Linked DNA regions of Oryzias latipes. The protein of the gene in region 1 binds, or shares a complex with, the protein of each later gene. Links are inferred from orthologs where the notes say so. Each region holds a gene or a part of one and is shown on either strand. Other genes may lie near its edges.

The links.
Region 2: the proteins of eif2b5 (region 1) and eif2b3 are in contact, whole or in part, in a cryo-EM structure (PDB 7VLK), measured with the Homo sapiens proteins. The link is inferred for Oryzias latipes from reciprocal best matches to the Homo sapiens genes EIF2B5 and EIF2B3. Residues at the interface, in NP_003898.2 of Homo sapiens: Pro190, Val202, Arg222, Arg223, Phe224, Ala225, Phe226, Pro227, Leu228, Phe231, Gln232, Ser234, Ser235, Asp236, Gly237, Val238, Glu239, Val240, Arg241, Tyr242, Asp243; in NP_065098.1 of Homo sapiens: Arg155, Phe157, Glu178, Glu179, Leu180, Val181, Ile182, Lys183, Gly184, Leu187, Gln188, Pro191, Arg192, Ile193, Arg194, Phe195, His196, Thr197, Gly198.

What each region holds. Positions count from the first base shown.
Region 1 is NC_019875.2:17,626,401-17,635,971, reverse strand, and holds the start of eif2b5 (translation initiation factor eIF-2B subunit epsilon), read left to right. Parts: upstream 1-5,154; 5' UTR 5,155-5,252; coding exon 5,253-5,405; intron 5,406-5,616; coding exon 5,617-5,741; intron 5,742-5,812; coding exon 5,813-5,998; intron 5,999-6,072; coding exon 6,073-6,250; intron 6,251-6,332; coding exon 6,333-6,413; intron 6,414-6,490; coding exon 6,491-6,568; intron 6,569-7,588; coding exon 7,589-7,901; intron 7,902-7,982; coding exon 7,983-8,128; intron 8,129-8,846; coding exon 8,847-8,991; intron 8,992-9,074; coding exon 9,075-9,176; intron 9,177-9,251; coding exon 9,252-9,353; intron 9,354-9,499; coding exon 9,500-9,571. UniProt on the Homo sapiens protein: Acts as a component of the translation initiation factor 2B (eIF2B) complex, which catalyzes the exchange of GDP for GTP on eukaryotic initiation factor 2 (eIF2) gamma subunit.
Region 2 is NC_019875.2:24,333,024-24,342,594, forward strand, and holds the start of eif2b3 (translation initiation factor eIF-2B subunit gamma), read right to left. Parts: upstream 5,170-9,571; 5' UTR 4,860-5,169; intron 4,049-4,859; 5' UTR 4,031-4,048; coding exon 3,883-4,030; intron 2,448-3,882; coding exon 2,290-2,447; intron 1-2,289. UniProt on the Homo sapiens protein: Acts as a component of the translation initiation factor 2B (eIF2B) complex, which catalyzes the exchange of GDP for GTP on the eukaryotic initiation factor 2 (eIF2) complex gamma subunit.

The DNA.
Region 1 (9,571 bases):
GCCACTCGTGGGTGAAGGCAGGGGACATCCTGGACAGGTCGCCAGTCCGACGCGGGCCCCATGTTTCTTGTTATAATTTGTTTATTCTGTAGCTAAAATATCCTATGATTTAGGTTTGGAAGGCTTGCTGACCTATCTTAATGTTCCTATTTTCCATCTACCTTACTTCTCCATTTTCTGAATTCACTTTTGATCTGTTTTTTTGGATTGTCTTGTTATTATTGTAATCCATCAATTTCCACAAGCAATTTAACAACTGTCTTGTGTGGTGTTCATTTGAAAATATTCCTGTCTGTTAGCACTGCATTCTGAAACAATTTCTACAACTTTGATGTCTCAAAGAAACCCTAAAGAACACAAAAATAAAAAAGTTGGTGACTTTCTCCTCATATAATCGGAATATTTGTGATTGAGCAGCAAACATGAAAAGAGAATTAAATAAAGCACTTAAGTGATCAGAAAAAAACGGGGAAAAATGCTTTGTGAAGGAGGGGCACATTTTTTTCACTGTTCAATTTTTGTCACAGACACGTTAGTCAATAAAGTTGGAGAGAAAAAAGTTGAACGTTCAAAAGTCGTGGTCCTCTATCGCCCTCTTCTGGTGGGCGGAGAAAGCGACAGACGTTTTCATAACATGGAGGTTGTTGTGTAAAGACGCCACTGAAGTTCAGAGAAGCTACGGACTTCGTAACTGTTCGTCCTGCATTCAGCGGTGGTTAAAGTATGTATGATTTTTGTCAATATTTGTGTTTAACTGGCGTTTCAATCTATCATGTTGAAAAACGCTGAAAAAATGCCGAATCCGTTAGTTTAGACTGCAAACAGTGAGCAATAAAAGTGTAGGATAAGCAAAGATGATCAGATAATAATAACATTTAGGCACTGTAGATTAGTTAGTAAGTAGATAAATGTTCTTTGTTCGTTCATTATTAGTTTGGTCTACTTAATTTTAGCAGCTCTATTTAATATAGGCTATAAACTGTCAAGAGTGTTGGCTGTTTTTGTTTACATTTTACCACACATCTTTGCCAAAATCCATTTTAGATCTATTTTTAAATCACATTATTTTATCAAAATAAATGAAATAGAAAGTCAGTGAGTACTCGTGACCTTTAGTGACCCCTTGTTGTGTAAGTTCCTGTCTAATGAAGGTCTTTAAGGAGTGTCAGCTCCAGCCTTGATCATAAACTTTTGAGGAAAGCAGCCAAACAAAGTCCTTCAGTAAGACTTTTCCTTTCTCCACAGATGGCCTCAGCTGTGGCTGACAGGGCAATAGGAGCCATTGTTGGATCAGCTGTTGCAGATGCTGCAGGTAATTTTTTTGACTGGTTATCATTTTGTTTATTCTGCATCTAATTCAGTCGGATAACATTTTTTAAACACCCCCTCGAAGGAAAATTGGGTTTATTGTGTCTACTACTCCAAGGCAAATGTTTAATGAGCTCCAGCCGCTCTGCAGAAACGATGTTCTAGGAAACGACCCAGGTTTTTTGGGTTGTTTTGGCTAAAATCGACATAATCATAACTAAAATACCATTGGGAATGGTTTTACAATAGATCAAAAGATGGTCGGAGTTGGACTTGTGTCATTATTTTTCAAAGGATCCTGCATACCTTTTACCACATCAGTATTTGCTCTTGAACAGCTTGTTCACATTTCTATCACATTTCCCCCAATAACCCAATCAAACAAGTAATTATTACCTGTAAAGATCTTCGTCTGAACTAAAAAAAAAAACTGACTGGATGATGTATTTACAGCACAGCCTCTGCACTGGGTCTATGACCTGCAGAAGCTGAAGGGGATACTGGCTCAGGATTCAAACCCAGAGTTCCGTTCTGAGTCTGCCAACCCTTTTTACCGAAGGAAGACGGGCGAGCAGAGTTGCTACGGAGACCAGGCTTATGTGCTGCTGGAAAGCTTGTCTGAATGTGGAGGTGAGCCAGTCTCTCCTAATATCTGTATTTGGACCCAACAAAGTGGTAGATTTTTAACACAAAGATGCTCCGCAAAACAACTAAATGAGATTTTTATCGCCCCAGTCATGTGGCATTGATCAACCAAATTTTAATCAATTAACAAATTATGAATTTGAGGATATTTTATATTTTATGTCATTTTAACTCCCGTCATGATTCATTGATCACTGTCGTCTTCTAGGTCTAAACGTTGAACATCTAAAGCAGCGCACAATGAAGTTCTTTGGACCGGGTTCAGAGTACGACACACCCATCAATGATCCGTACAGAGACAAAACCGGTACGGATCTTTTCAGCTCCTCTGGAGTGAAATGCTGCATTTACTATTATGGTATTCCCTTAAGGAGAAAATCTTTGTACTCATAGAATGTTTGTTTTTAAATTCATCAGGGCCGAGACCTCAGCTGCCCATTGAGGGACCATGGAGGCAGGCATGTTTGAAGAGTTTCATAAAGAATATGGATGCTGGAAAAGAGGAAACAGGTTATTCCAAAAATAAATTAATAAAATAAAACAGTTTGCTGCTATTAAAACAAACAAACTTGACGTGTCTTCTCTGTTGCAGGCTGTGAGACGGATTGTCAGATCGACGGTGTAGCCAAGCTGGCTCCTGTTGTGGCTTTCTATGCAGGGCAGCCTGACATGTTGGAGAAGGTCGAACAGGCCGTCCGCGTCACTCAGAACAGCGACGAATGTGTTGCAGAAACTTTGGGGGCAGCAAGGTTTTTAACATGTTTCTTCTCCTGGTGGCACTAATGAAATGGGATAGATCCTTATATTATTATCTATCTTTTTTCAGTGCCACTCTTGATGATGTAAACTTATCCCACTTATCCTCAAATTTAGATTTAATAAAGAGCTACAATAAAAATAAATACATAAAATAAAATCCCCCAATTCATTTCTTGAGGTTTCTGGAACATTTCATCTTGAACGGTGCTGATCCGGGAGCCCTGGAGGCAGTGCTGAATCAGCTGAATGATCTGAAGAGAAAGCAGCCTCAGGATTTGGATAAAGCGGTGGTCGGTATGTGAGATCAACTGCTGCTTTGTTACTGATAAAGTCATGAGATTGGGTCATGCTGTTATCCGTCATGTCCTGTTGTTATTTCAGGCCACATTCATCAGGTGAAAGAGCATTTATCAAAGACTCCCCAGGAGATTATCCCCACAGTGTTCCCAAACACATGAGGTACTTTGACAGTTTAAGCGTCTCTGGTGACAGAAAATCTTAATTCTTTGAACTTCGGCTCAAATAATTATGAATTATTGCATTTATTATTATTTTTTTAGGTCTGCCAGGTGCATTCCAGGCAGCGCTGCACGGAGTCCTAACGGCCAAGAACTTTGAGACGGCTGTCAGAGACACCATGAGCTGCGGTGGGTGCACCTGCAGTCGAGGGTCCTTCATCGGAGCATGTTTGGGGGCTCAGGTCAGATCATTTGCCTAATTTAGCCACTATTCCGTTACAAGTCAGTGCTGTTGGTGTAATTCATGGCATTTGCTAATTCTAGGTTGGTCTTGAGGGAATCCCAGCATCTTGGAGGGAAAAAACCCTGAGATACAACTCTGTGTTGGAGCACGCCAAGAAGATTACCAAACATCTTTAGTCATATGAGAAGAGTGAGGCACTGAGAGCATCATAGAAGATTGCTGAGCTTTGGCAGAGCATCGAATGAAGGCTTTTGTCTAAACTTATGTGAGGCAGAAGCCTGATGTTTTTTTATGTCTGCAAAAGGATCAAAAGTTGTTTATGATGTTCTCTCACTTGCACTTTTCTCTCGTTTATGAACAGTGACTTATTATAAAACGATGATTGTTATTGTTGACGCTGAAAACTATGATGGGTGAAAATGATAAAAAAAAAAAGGTCAAATGAAGGAAATGAAAGTGCAAGGAGTAGATATGAAAATAAAAAACTGGCGGAAAAAATGAAATTATAAATTGTCAAATAAATCAATACATTTCAAATCTATTTGTTTCGATGTACTCACAATTCAATAAGGTGAAAAGAATTGGAAAAAAACTTACAAAAAATTGGGTATAAATTTCAAATTTCACCAAACCTTGCATTTATTCTTTTTTTGTTTTCTCAAACTTTTTTTCTTCAATTCAGTAATCAGTATTTCCTAAAGCTTTCGTTTACATCTAAGTATATTTCAGCAACATGAATATTGTGACTTAAGTTTAACTACAATGCTACACATTTATGGAATGCAAATTTTGGCCAAATTTATTCACGCTTCAAAACCCAACCTGAAACTTTTTCTCTGTTTTGATGGTTCTGTTTTGATACGCGGCACCATCTGCCTATTTCTTTTTTACATTTTTTTGTACACTTTTCAGTGTACTGTTATTAGTTTTTTATTTTGCAAATGAATTTGAAGTTCTATAAAACACTTAAATTTACCTTAAACTAAGTGGATGCTAAAGAATGTTTGAAATATAAATAAATGATTGCGGTAAAAACTTTCTGCCTGTATCATTTTTTTTTTATATAAGGGGATACAACTCTTCATCTTTAAAAAAAAAATTCAGATGACAATAAAGTAGGCTATTGTTTCACCAAAGGCCTCAAATGCAAGAAAATTAGGCGTGTTATGTTGTTTTTGGGTTATTTTTAGTTTTACATCAAAACATATATATGTAGTCTAATAAAAAATGTAATCTCCCAAATAATTTCTGTTTATGTCTGGCAAAAGTCTTTGTGATTTTTAGAAAGGAATTTTGGTCACCAGTACTTGAAATCAAACATACTTTATTGTCCAAAACACACAGGACAAGGAAACATTAACTATGAGGATGCCATGGAATGGCATTTGCGTAACAAAACATACATTACAGTAAATAGAAAAATGCAAACAATTTTACATTCATCTATGATTTTTTTGTTTATACCATAAGAAAAAGTAAATAAGATTCAATTTTTTTTATTATTAACGTTCAATCAATGTTGCGATTTGCAAAACACACATATATATATATATATATATATATATATATATATATATATATATATATATATATATATATATATATATATATATATATATATATATATATATATATATATATATATATATATATAAATATTTTTTGAAACTGTAATATATAAACAGTTTGCAGTTACAGTTATGTGTGTGTATATGTGTGTGTAAGCTGTATATATATATATAAAAGTATCCAAAAAGATGAGGCGCGGAGCGCGGACCACTGACTAAAATTGCCTCTTGGTGCTCGCCGTAGTGGTTTGTGACGACAGGTTGTGAAACATGGCTGCTAGAGGAGGAAAACAGAGCCGCTCGGGTATGTCGGGTAGGAAAGGCGCAGGTGAGCAGGAAGACGAGGAACAACCGTTGCAAGCCGTTTTAGTGGCTGACAGCTTCAACCGGAGGTTTTTCCCGGTAACCAAAGACCAGCCGCGGGTAAGCAGCGAGCTAAGACAACCCGGGATGCTAATGGAGGCTATAATGTCCATGCTCGGAATTGACAAGAGCTGCACATGTTATCAAGTGTTTCCCGAACTATTAAAGCGCTATTTTGTAATGTTCTTTAAATATATCTTGATGGGACATGTTGAGATTGACGTTCGACATTTTAAAAGCTTTGCTGACAGATTGTGATTGTTGATGCCAGGCTTTGCTGCCGCTCGGTAATGTTGCCATGATCGACTACACCCTGGAGTTCCTGACCTCCACTGGAGTCCAGGAGACCTTTGTGTTCTGCTGCTGGATGGCCAGCAAAATCAAGGAGCATTTACTGTGAGTTGGATAGCTTCCGTCAGTGTTAGGGATGTCTTTTCTCTTTGTTTGAACCTTCCACTCTCCTACAGGAAATCAAAGTGGTGTCGACCCACCTCCTCAAACACAGTCCACATCATCACCTCAGAACTGTACCGCTCCCTTGGGGATGTCCTCAGGGATGTCGACGCCAAGTCCCTGGTGCGATCTGACTTTGTGTTGGTTTATGGAGACGTGGTGTCCAACATCGACATGAGTCAGGCGCTGCAGGAGCACAGGTAGATCCCCTCAGAGAACGCTCCCCTTTGGATTCTCTGCAGATTTTTTCTCTTCAGCATTTTGTTCTCGTCAGGCAACGGCGAAAGATGGAGAAGAACATCTCTGTGATGACCATGATGTTTAAGGAGTCGTCTCCGGGTCACAGATCCCGCTGTGAGGAAGATGATGTCATTGTAGCTGTGGACAGTAAGAGTCAGCAGATTTTACACTACCAGAAGACACAAGGCTTAAGGAAGCTGCAGTTTCCCATGGTAAACTCTGGTTTCACGGTTAGCTTATTGCTCTTTCTCCTTTTAAGGATTTGACTAATTAAACACTGTTGGTGTTCTGCAGAACATTTTTCATTGTGGAACTGATGAGTTTGAAATCAGACATGACCTCCTGGACTGTCACATCAGCATCTGCTCTCCACAGGTCAGCTTTGCTACAAAAATAGAAAAATAAAATCTTTGTTATTGTATTTTAATGCGCTTCTCCCTATATTTTTGTAGGTTGCTGAGCTCTTCACCGATAATTTCGACTACCAGACTAGGGATGATTTTGTTCGAGGAATTCTGGTCAACGAAGAGGTGCTCCACAAATCTAATTATTGCTTTTTAAAGACCCACTCCAAAGAAAATCTAAATTTTTGTGTTTTTAATGTGTATTTGTGGCATTTTTCTGATGATGGAGGGCATATAAAAAAATTAAGATTAAAACTGCTTTTCTTTATTCAAATGATTGTGAATGAGGAGCAGACAGAAAAAGCTACTGTTGGAAAAAGATTGTACCGTATTTTCCGGACTATAAGTCGCACTGGACTATAAGTCGCATTTTGACAGGAAATTTATTTGACAAAATCTGAGACCAAGAACTAATAAGTTTCACAACCTCATATGACACAATCATAGCAGACTGTTTTCTCATAATTTCACAGTAATTCTTTCTCATACTTATTAATTTATTCCTTTCATGAAGCATCATTGGGGAACTAATACTCTGTTTTCATCCTGTATTTGTAGAAACAGTTGTCATTTTATTGCATTTCTGAATCTATGAAATCATTGGAAAATAGAATATTATGTTGTTAGCCTTCAAGATCTTACTGTAAAAAAAGTTTGCTGATTCTCTGAGTCACTTAACATACTCTTAACACTTAACATACTTCATACATCAAATTGACCCAGGAACATCATCTCTGTTCCTCACAAATGAACATAACAGGAGGGTTAACAATGTATTTATTTCAATTTATTTCTAATATAAGTCGCTGCGGAGTATAAGTCGCACCCCTTGCCAAACTATGAAAAAAGGGCGACTTATAGTCCGGAAAATACGGTAGTTGTGATGTAGATCGGCTACAATCGGCGGGCCACAAGCTCCCTGCTCCGCCTTATTCTGATGCATCTTCTTGTGGACGACTAGATCCATCTACCTCACAGTTTTCCTAGTCCGAGCTGGCATAGTTATTTTGATTTAGTCAAAAACGGCATAATCATAATTAAAAAATCACTAGGAAGACTTAATAGATCAAAGGATGATCGGAGTGGTACTTTCATTTCCGTCTTTGGTCCTTCTGCATGTGACAGTAATTCACTGTTTCTATTCAGATTCTGGGCAACCAGATCCATATGCACGTCACCACGGATGGCTACGGCGTGCGTGTGTCCAACCTGCTCATGTATGATTCGGTGTCGTCGGACTTTGTGCGCCGATGGGTTTACCCCCTCACCCCTGAGTCCAACTTCACCGACCGGGAAGGGCAGATCTGCACATACTCTCGGCACAACGTGTACCGGGGCTCTGGGGTCAGCCTGGGGCACGGCAGCCAGATGGAAGAGAACGTGCTCATCGACCGAGACACAAGCATCGGCGCCAACTGTTCCATCTCCAACAGCGTCATCGGCAACAACTGCACTATAGGTGAGCTCGCTGACAGGTTAACCCAACGGCGCTTCAAAGCCTGTCTGATCCTCTGAAATGTTTCGTCTTTTCCTGCAACAGGAGACAACGTGATCCTAGACCACGCGTACATCTGGAACGACGTCCACATTGCGAGTAATGTGGTGATCCGTCAGTCTGTGGTCTGCGATAAGGTCCAGGTCAAACAGGGTGTGACTCTCGATAAACAGTGCGTCCTGGCTTACAACGTAAGAAACGCACACAGCTGCTATCAAAATCTTCTCTTGTTGGCTCACATGCTCTGGTGTGGACCAAACAACTTTGAGCATGAAGTGCAATTCGTTAACGCAATTATTCACCAGAACTGGTGTTGGCGTGTTTTTACTGTGCATCCCTGAAGCCAACACAACTGGCTGTGTAACTGCTTACATTACTTGCTAAAACTTTTGTCTGTTTCTTCTTACTTTAAGGTTAAACAGCTTACTCTTTTTGTTCACCTTTAGTGAGTGAGTTAAAAATCTGAGATGATTTTGACTGAATTATACTTATTTGAAGTGTAATGGTTGTGTTCACATCACTGACTGTATAAGACAACTGTGAGTGTGACGTCACTCATTGAAAGTGACTATTTCTCCAAGGAAAAGTTGTGCTAAAATGAGGGTGTGGTCTTTTGATTGACATGGGACTGTAGCTTCCATATCAACGACATGCAAATGTACCTGTTTTCAGAAAGATTGGAGCATAATGAGACAAAATTACCGTCAAAACGGACTTTATCTTTCATTCATGCAGTCCGTGGCTCTTCTTCAGCACCTTTTGGGAGAGCAAATCTAGCTGCAGATGTAAAAACTTTTGATTTTTTTCTGCCCTTTTGGATCAATTTCCAGTTTTCTGTTTTTTTTAAAACGAGGCCCAAACTTTGTTTTCTCTGTAGGTTTTTTGTATTCACGTGAACTCTGTCTCCAGGTGGTGATTGGACCCAACGTTTCTCTGCCAGAGGGTACCGTGGTGTCGATGCATCATCCAGAGGAGGAAGAGGAGGAGGACGATGATGAGTTCCTCAGCGATGACGCTCAAGTTGACCAAGGCAAAGACAAAACCAAGCAGAAAGGTGCGTGCTGGCCTGAAGTGATGTGAAATCACCTGTTACTCCTTCATTGTTTTAGGAGATGACTTGGTGCTTCTTTTCTGTAGTTTTTAACCCAGCAGAAGTTGGGGCAGAAGGAAAAGGTTACATTTGGAGAGCCAGCAGTCTGGATGACACGGAGGAGGAGGAGCTGTCACATTGTCTATGGGGTAGGAATCTGTTTCAAAGCTCTCCAGTCTTTATTGAGTGTTATTGTTTTAAATTCTTTGCCTCATGTTGAGCAGGTTTGGTATTGAAGCCGGATCCTGAGAGCGACAGTGAGGACAGCGAGCCTGACGGTCCTGATGACCCAGTAATTCCCTCTCCTGAGATGGATGATGTCAAAGGTGAGCACTCCTAATGTTCGCCCTGCATGACTGCCCCCTACTGGTCAAACAAAAAAAAGCTCTCAGGGCTTTTTATGACAGAAATATATTTCTTAAATTTTGGAAGATTGATCCAAACAGTTAAAGAATTGCATAATTTTGTTTAGTTTTCCAGTTGGAGGTGCTTGGGACCCTGCAGAGAGGTTTGGAGGAGAACATCAGCTGTGACAATCTTGTCC
Region 2 (9,571 bases), about 6.7 Mb from region 1:
TCTCCATGCTGCGATGGGGTAGAGTTCTTCACTCGTCACCATGCAGTGTGTGAGCGTTTGTAACTCAATGCCTCTAATCTAGCGAGATGCTTGAGGGATTAGGACCTGAACGCTTCTCCCTGGGAGCATGCAGGAGCAGGAGTGCAGTTTGGTGTGCACACATGTTGACATACCGAGCATCTATCAAGGAAATCTAAAGCAAAAATAACACCAATCTGTAAAGACACGAAAGAAAACATTTAAAAAAATTTCCATGTGGAAAATGTATGATTATGAACAGACAAAAATACAATCTTGTATTCCTAAATGTGTTTTTATTTGAGCAGATTTATACGCATAAAAAACAAGCCTCCAGAACACCCGTATTTTGAAAACCCCACAAGTTGACATCATATTAGAGAAGAAACTGAAGGTTCCCCCTAAAAGAGGTCTGCAATGATTTAGATCAAAGTTGTTCTGAGTAATAAAACACACAATTACTTCCTAGGTTAGACGTTTGGCACAATTGTATCTAAATTAGTAATGCAAAATATGTTAAACAAGTTAGCATAATTTGCAAAGTTCACATCAATGAATTTTACTGATAAATATTAGAATATTTGACTCACTGGTGTGAAAAAGAGAACTTAACCGTTTTCTAAACAAGATAATTTCTCTTTCAAGTGAGTTGTTGAATTTAAAAGAGCTATTGATTTAGATCTACAAATAATCAAGATTATGGACATTTATGATTCAATTAATTTAAGTAAACATTGTCATTTCAAAACCAAAATAGTTGGTAATGAAAAACAGTTTTCAAAGGACAAAAATGAACAAAGATGGAATTTTCATTAATACACACACAAAAAAATCTTGATTAAACCAACAGAATAAAAAAAAAAAAGAGCAAGAAATTCAATTTGTAAATTACATCCATAAATATGCATCTTCCAAGGGAGGATCATATTAATTATCATCTTAAATCCAGTTTAGGGATTCAGTGCACATATTTCATGAGAACTCCAGCCCAGAATTCCTCTGTTATTGCTTCCCGCTCCTGTTAAAATCACTGCAACTCATCACGTCTCTGCAGAACTGATGAGCTGGATCAGAGGTACCTGAACACCACAATCATGGTGCATCTGCAGCTCCTCAGTGGAAAAAGGGCTGCCCAGCAAGATGTGACATGCAGACAATTTGTGTACCTGTTTTGGGTTTTTAATAGAAAACAAGAGGCTGCTGTTTAGACAATGGCTGCCTTACCCTGGTCCTGAGGCTCTACTACCCTGCCTATACTTTCCAGTTCTATTGATTACCTAATCTCACGTGTCTCATCATTCTGATTGACTATACACACCTGATACAGATAATAAGAAGCAAAAAGTCCAAAAAATAAACAGTAAAAACTAAAAAGGCAGGCTGGGCAGCCCTGGTCTGGAGCAATAGATTTCAATAAAACACTGCCTTTCCTAATAAAGGCTTACAGTTGCAAAATGCAGTTAAGCTCCTGGAGATGCGGATTGTCGTGAGATTATATGAAATCCAGGCAGAATTTAAGGATTATAATCCAAGTGAGTTAGAGTACAATAATGCTCCCTAACTTCAGGAGACTGCAGCAGGACTGATGAAAACAGCTTCAAGAGTTTCAGCACAAATACAGACCAAATCTGGTGGTCCAAAGGAAAAAAAAAAACAAAGTAAAATATCACAAGACACAAATCAGTACTTTTTTTTCATCCATTCCTTGGCTTTGGATGGAAGAAAAACAACCTGCAACACCAGCATAACTGCTGAGTTTATCTTTCATAGTTTTCATTGATGTTGGCTGGTAATGAAGACTGCAGGATCTTTCATGCTCCAGTTTCATCCTCCATCAATATTTTGACCCAGATGTATCTTTTTTTTAATCAGTTATTGCTTTTTCTCAGATTTACACCACCACTCTAAAGTACAGCTATTTTATCTTTGGTCTTCAGCTGAAGATCATTCACTCTGCAACAGCAATCAGCTTTATTCACATTATGCGGCGCTTGTGTTCCTATTTTGTTATTTTCAGAGCCACTTCGCGAGTTCTCAAACAGATTCACCATAAAAACAGTCAGTGAAAATCCTACAAAATAAAAGCCTGTAACCTATGAGCAGTTCAAACTGTGGTTGATGATGGTTTAATCCTCCCCTTCTTATTTATCGAATCAGGAACAAAACGAAAAAAATGTACAATACCAACATTGAGTTTAAATAACTATTATGACCGTACGACTCAAAACTCAAGTTTCCACTAAACCTATGCAAGAAAACACACACACACACCTTAATCTTCTGCTGAATGTGTCGGAGAGCATCAGCGGTGCCCATGTCTCCATCCTCCTGGATGCAAACCACATCCAGCTTCATCTTCACGTCCACCTTTATTTTGGGGTCCATGCTCATCATCTTCTGCACTTCTTTTGTGGTGATTATAATGACCTCTGAAAACACAGATATGATTTTTTTTTTTTTACATAGAAAAAGTTGCCAAATGCATTTGCTTACTTAAAATCTAATTTGGCAAAATCAGTCATCTTCCATCGAAGCTGAGATTATACCTCCAGCCTTTTGAATGCACATATCAATCAACACATACCAGTCTGTCTACATTACTCAGCTCCATCTGCATAAATAGTTTTTAATGGGGATTTCTTCACTCTAGCTGTGACAGGCCAGTAAAATCTAATTGCATAGCTTTGGTTAGGAGGCTGCAGCCAGTTAACTGTCGGCCACACAGGATGATTACGCATTGAAAACAAGTCTTATTTAGGTAAGTAAGAAACTACAGGGTTTTACAACAAACAGTCTGGCTTACTGTCTGCAGGAAAAGATCCTGTATAGATTTAAAAACTTGCAGCACAAAAAAAAATCCACTTTGTAAATCAAATGTGGACATTCACAAATCAAACGTGGACATTCACACCAGTCAATGGATACAAATTTCCTGACACGCAGATAAAAGCATTAAATTGAATGTGCTTGATGATGTAAAGACAGGACTTGACAGCAGAGCTATCAGTAAGCATTACAGCGGAATACTGTCAATGTACTAAAGCTCGATTTAGCCATAAATGGTGGTTAAGCTGAAGCTACACTTTAAATACGGTCACAAAACTATCAATATGTAGTTTTACTTCTCCGCATATTACAATGAATACAATAAGGTAAATAAATATTTTGATTTCAATGGTTTAGTTGGATAAAGGGGAAGCAACATACTAATCTAAATGTAAAAAATGCAATAGTTTTCGGTAAAATGTGTTGCATAGTTCTATAGGTGTGTTGTGGAAAGTGTAATCTAAAGTCAAACCGATGGAGGGAAATCTCTGTTCTGAGATCTGCTGTAGAGCCTGTACATCTATACAAAATGTATTTTCAGATTATTCAATCGATTTTGCAAAACCTTGATCTTACTAAAGAAAAAAAGCATTCAAGCCATTCTTTTGAAACTTAGCTTAAGCTTGTAGAGTCAATTGTCATTTTATCACTATTCACACAAACCTTTTGCCGTATTACATCATTTTATTTTATTTTTTGTTAGTCTAAAGAATACAAAATGTTCTGTTCAGTAGCATTTAAAGTTGTTGATCATTAGAAATAAATGTACAAGCGATTTCTTTGTATTACTTTTCTCCTATTATAGCAAATGTATGTCCTAATATATTAAACATGCAAAAAAATAAAAAATAAAATAAAAACTGGTTGATCATTTTCCAAGTAATTATATAGAAAAATTGAAGGTGGTTTCAGTGAGCCTGTAAATTCAAGGGGTATTTTTTGTCCATGGTGAAAGAGTATGGATGGAACAGCTAATTGACTCTTATTGTAATATAAATATATATTTTTTGTTTATATATTCTTTGGTTTTGCCCTCACCTTCAAATCCTACCCTTTCCAGCAAGTTCAAGGGATACCAAATGAGGGGCTTGTTGCCAACGGGCAGCATTGCTTTAGGGGTGTTGTATGTTAAATCAGTCATCCGGGAACCACCACCCGCCGCCATCAACACCGCTTGGAGCTCCATGATGTCTGCAGCAACGGGCTATGGAGGACAGTCACCACCAACACAGAAGGACAAGGGTTAAAATGATGTTTATTGTTCAAAACTCCTATTCTGGACAGTCTGAACTATAAATACTGAGCCGTTCTCCAACAAATTCAGTACAAAAAGTGATGCTTTTAGTGTTTTCTCTACTGAAGAAAATAAATAAATAAAAACTAAACAAAGACAACAGTATGTCATCCACTCAGTTAAACCCTTAGGATGATTTTTTTTTTACTTAAGGAAAACTAACTTTAAGAGGAAATAAAATATCATTAAAGTTGGTTGAGCTGATTTAAACTGTTGATGAACTCCACTAGATGAAGTTAAAATATACATGTATGGTTTAATTTCAGATATATCAGTTATTAATATATTTGCTGCTTTTACTGAGTAGCAAATGAATTGTAAACTGAAAAAGACTTTGGAAGTAGATTCTGAATTAGTAAGAATGACTTAAACTTAAACTCATTTGTATAAACACAATTTAAAAATCAATCAATGAATAGAGTTTAAATCACATTTATGATTACTCTCTAAGAGAGTCAAGTGATTGAGATAAATTAGTAAAAATTAAACATCCGTTTATTTGTGCGTCTTTTTTGTTCCGTATCCAACTGAAGGATTCAATTATCTTCAGTTGTACTAATAAAAACAACAGCAACAAATCTGTGGTAATCCAAGTAAAGTATTGCTAGCAGGGAGAAGTCTCCGAATTATCAACATGACAGTTTTTTATGACACGTTAAGACCGTTATGCTATTAAAGACTTAGAAATATTCAAAATATTAAAAGTGTCTTTCAAACGTACCTGTTTCTTTGTTTTGATTACCGGCGTGGTAGGGGAATGAGCTGCAGACGCATGGAAGACGTGTTCCTGTCACTGTCAATTGGCTAACTCTGTTAGCAACTAGCCATCAAAGTTACCGCCGTTCTGCAGATAAATCAAACCCATTTAAATATGACTCATGGACGATAAACATCTAATCGGATCAGACTGGGATCCTGACTAAAATAAAGCTAAACAGTTAGGTCATTTACAGCAAACGCTTAAACAAGCTAACAGCTAGCATTGCATGATGACACATTGTGGTGTTCAGGAAAATTCATCCGTAGTTAAACAGTTTCCTATACAAAGTGGTTCCTCCAGCCGCCACCTTTGGTTAGTAAATAACAGTACACCCAAATTACTGCTAAAACAACAACAACAGCAATAAAAACAACAACAACAACAACAACAACAACAACAACAACAACAACAACAACAACAACAACAACAATAATAATAATAATAATAATAATAATAATAATAATAATAATAATAATAATAACGTGAAACATTTTAATTGATCAAATGCTTCAAAAAAAAAAGATGATTTTTATGTATTTGTATTGATTGTTGGTTCAGTATAGTTTGATTTAGTAACAATGCATCAAACCGAAGTTGTTGTCTACAGACCCACCACACTATATTTGTTTGAAACTAAAGCACTCCATCAACAAAAGTATATAAAAAACAAAATAAAAGTATAAACATATTTTTATACACTTTTGCTGATGGAATGTGGTTTCAGCAACCAAATGTAGTGTGAGCAGATTACCAGCCAGAAGAAGCCACCCACCCATCTACTGCTCCACACTTCAAGGTTGAAAACTCGTAATTCACAAAGCTGAAACTTAACAGCAAATTGAGCTTGGGGAATGTGGCTTTGGTTTTGTTTGCTCTAGCCAGGAGATGAGCTTGACTGCTCATTATGACTTGCTCAAAACCAGGCAAGCAACTAGAGAAAGAGAAGGAGAGAGGAAATGAAGGACAAAGAGACAAAGCAGCTTAGCTGCTTTAGCCCCCTAAAACAACAATACTCTCCCACAAAGATATGTGAATGCGAGTTACTGAAAAAGTTCATGATAAAATGTACTGGTTTACTGAATTTTGCTAAACTGCATAACACGCATATGTTTAACTTTTACAAAGTAACAACATCATTTCAAACTGAATGAAAACTGAAGCTTTTTAAAGTAAACTTCGTACCATAGCCAAATAGATCTGGTTATCATTAAGAAGTTTCTCGCAAAAAATGTTTAAAAAATGTTTGTCCAAGGTCACTTTCCTTGATTGACTTGTGCAGCTAACCCCAATCTTTGGAAAGAAGCGCATTTGCAAATCTGAAAAGGAATAGACTTTAAAATTGTGCTGTTTAGGGAGTACTAAATTTACCAACAACTTTCACTAAATGGAAACTTGAATGTCTGTTATTTTCTCCAATTTTACCCTTTAGAAGACCTTTTCCATTTTTCATGTTCAACCACAAACTTTACAAGGTGTTGTCAAAGTACAGGTGACATCTCGCTTCATAAAATAAAAACTTTTTTTTAATCTGGCAAAAAGTGAAGTTCTAATAAAAGTCAAACTGAAGTCTAAAAAGCTCACAGACATTACTGCTCGGCTGGTTAACCACAGGGAGCTGACGTGTGGGAGGCACTGCACATAACTACACCATGGAACCAGGCTGTTTCCACTGAAAGCTCACTTAACAGGATGAATTTCACAAAGGGCTAATAAGACTTCTTATAAGCCTACAGATATTTTTATGAATGGTTTCTTGCATTTTCTTTACATTACGTTTCTGGTTAAGATCTCCACTAAGAACATTTAAACCAGCATGTCACCTATCTTCATTTACATTTATACCTAACTTCTTCGTCTCTAGCCACTACAGTTTATGCACTGTTTTTTCTTCAGCCTATGCACACTCACACATCAGTTACATCACTCTTTCACCATTTTGCAGTTGCTTTCAAACTTTTGTGCTTACATTATTTTTTGCATTTAATGTTACATTTTATCTCTGTTTAAATAGTTTGTTTTTTTTTTTTAGTTTTATAATCCATTCAAAATGTTGTTTCATCCAAATATTCTTCAGTTTAGACCTTTCAAAACCAGAGCACGTTTTTCTATATCCTAAAAGTTTATTACTGTAATCCTTCTCTTTTGCTTTGCAAGGACTCCTCTGGCAGCTAAAGGCATGCACTGTACAGGAAAGCGGCAGTATATATTGCAAAGCCCTTAAAACACTTTAAGGGTTTTCCTTTTGCTAGATACAACAATGCTATTACAGCATGAAAATTTACATTTTATTAAATCAGAACCAACATTTTCTGGATTATGGTTTACTTAGACACAGCCTTTTGAAGTAAAAAAAAATCCTGACGTGTTTATTGCATGACAGGTTGATAAATGAAACTATAGAGCTAAGAGAAAAACTTTGAGTTTGTACTAATGTAAGAAATTTGACATTTGAGATTTAGGAAATAAAAGGCAATCAAGGTATATGTGCTCGATTTTTTTCTAAAAAATCAAACGATTTTTTTCTAAAAAATCAAAACGTTTTTCTATGACAAACGTTTTGTTCCATAATAGGAGTAAAAGAATAAAACTAAGCAGTGGCTGGAGGATGTGCAATCCCTCTCTCTATAAATGGAACCTCAGCTACGAGCACTGCTTGGGCTCACCAGTAAAAACTTCAACTTTCAATTTAATTACACACAATTCAGCCATAACATCAACAATTCAGACCCACAAACGTTCTTCGGCTTGTTCAGCTTGGGTTTCACGTGGAGGTTATTGTGACACTGAAACATTTTGCAGAGCTGAGGTGCCTCCCTTAGAAGGAAGGCAGCGAGTCCTGCAAAACCAGATTCTACCCTTCAACCTATAGAGCTTGATGATCTGCTGTCATAGCAGCCCTACACTCTCCAGAACACCCATCGAGGTTTTTTTTTAGTCCACAACGTTTGCTCCGCAACAGTTTTGGATGCTCCATTTCAGACATCATGAGTTTCTGTAGTGTCAGTATATTTAAACTATTTATACTTCATTGTTGCATCTGAGGGCTGTACAGTGGGGTATAGTGGTTAGCACTCTCGCCTCACAGCAGTGAAGCCATGGCTCGAATCCCGGTTGGGACCTTTCTTGGGTTAGTAGGTTCTCCCTGTGCATGCTTGACTTTTCTCCTAGAACTCCACCTTCCTCCGACAGTCCAAAAACATGGGATGTCTCTAAATTGCCCCTAGGTGTGAGTGTGTGGTCCTGCAACATACCCTCCCCTTTGTCCAAAAGTAGCTGCACTGGCTCCTGCAGCCACATGAGCCCAAAGGGAATCAAGAAGATGGATGGATGGATGGATGGATGGATGGATGGATGGATGGAAGTATGTTGCATGTCAAAACACAAATCAATCATCAGCCTTTGACAAATAGTATTATATGATCTTTTATTTCTATGTTTTATTATACACTTTAACAACTAGTATTTTAAAAGCTTTCTAAAATCAGACTATTGTAACAAATTATTCAGTAAAAATGAGAATTTTCTGTGTATAAAGACACAACTAAAATATAAAGTTAAGCAGTCAAATCTTTTTTTTTTTTTACATCATTGCAAACATCTCCTTTCAGTTTTATAGATAGCAAAATGAAAACCAGTTTATTCTGAAAAAAAGTCAATTCCACCAGAGCAGCAAATACCCATTGACCACACAAAAGAAGATGATATGAAAACATATGTTTGCTTTATTTATTTTGTTGTAAAACGTGTATTGACTGTACGGCAGACAGACAGTGACAGATTGTACATGAAATGTTTGTCCCTTTGAAATACACAAATCTTTATGTGCTGAGACAAAGTTCATTTATCTGCTGCTTTTTTCTTTGAATCAAAGCCAGATGTATTTGTAAAATACAGACACATAATATAAAGAAATGAATAAAAATGTATGGACAAAACTAAACACAATGCTGGTCCTCATACAGGACCAGATGGTTGCAAGAAACCATCAACAATTTCTAAATATTTTGGACGTTTTTTTCTTTTTTGTGTCAGAACAGCAATGATGGTGTTTTTTTCTTCTATATGTAAAGTCACACTTTTAAACGGTCATTGATCAAAATGATGTGTCTGTAAAGAAATCAATCCAGACAAAAGGTGTTTTAAAAATAAATAAGTAAGTGAAAAAACTGTTTTTTTGGGACAATTTGTGTTGTTTTCATCAGCTTTTATGGGACCCGACAGTCACTCGTGCACGTCTGATTACAGATTGATTTGACATGCAGCCATGAAAGTTCCTGAGACTTCCTCTTGTTGGCCATGCTGCAGCATCTTGTAAATCATTCTCAATTCACTGAAACAAGCCAGTTGGATTAGCTTGGTTTAGATCATAAACATTTGCAGCACAGACCACCAAGGAAGAGCGCAGAGCCAAGCAAGATTGTTCGTGAGTGTGCGTTCATCTGTGTGTACGTGTGTGTGTGTTTGAAGCGTTGCTCACATTCAGAGGTGGGTATTGCAGAACATAGAAGCTCATATGTGGTCTCAGACATGCAGTGGCACAGACACACACACCCACACTGAGGTTAGTGTTCAGGCCTCTTCCAGGGCCGGTGCACTGTGGGGCCCTAACCGCTGTTGTGGAAACCATAACAGCCTGTCCGCTCGGTCAGGGCCAAAATGAACATGCACTCACA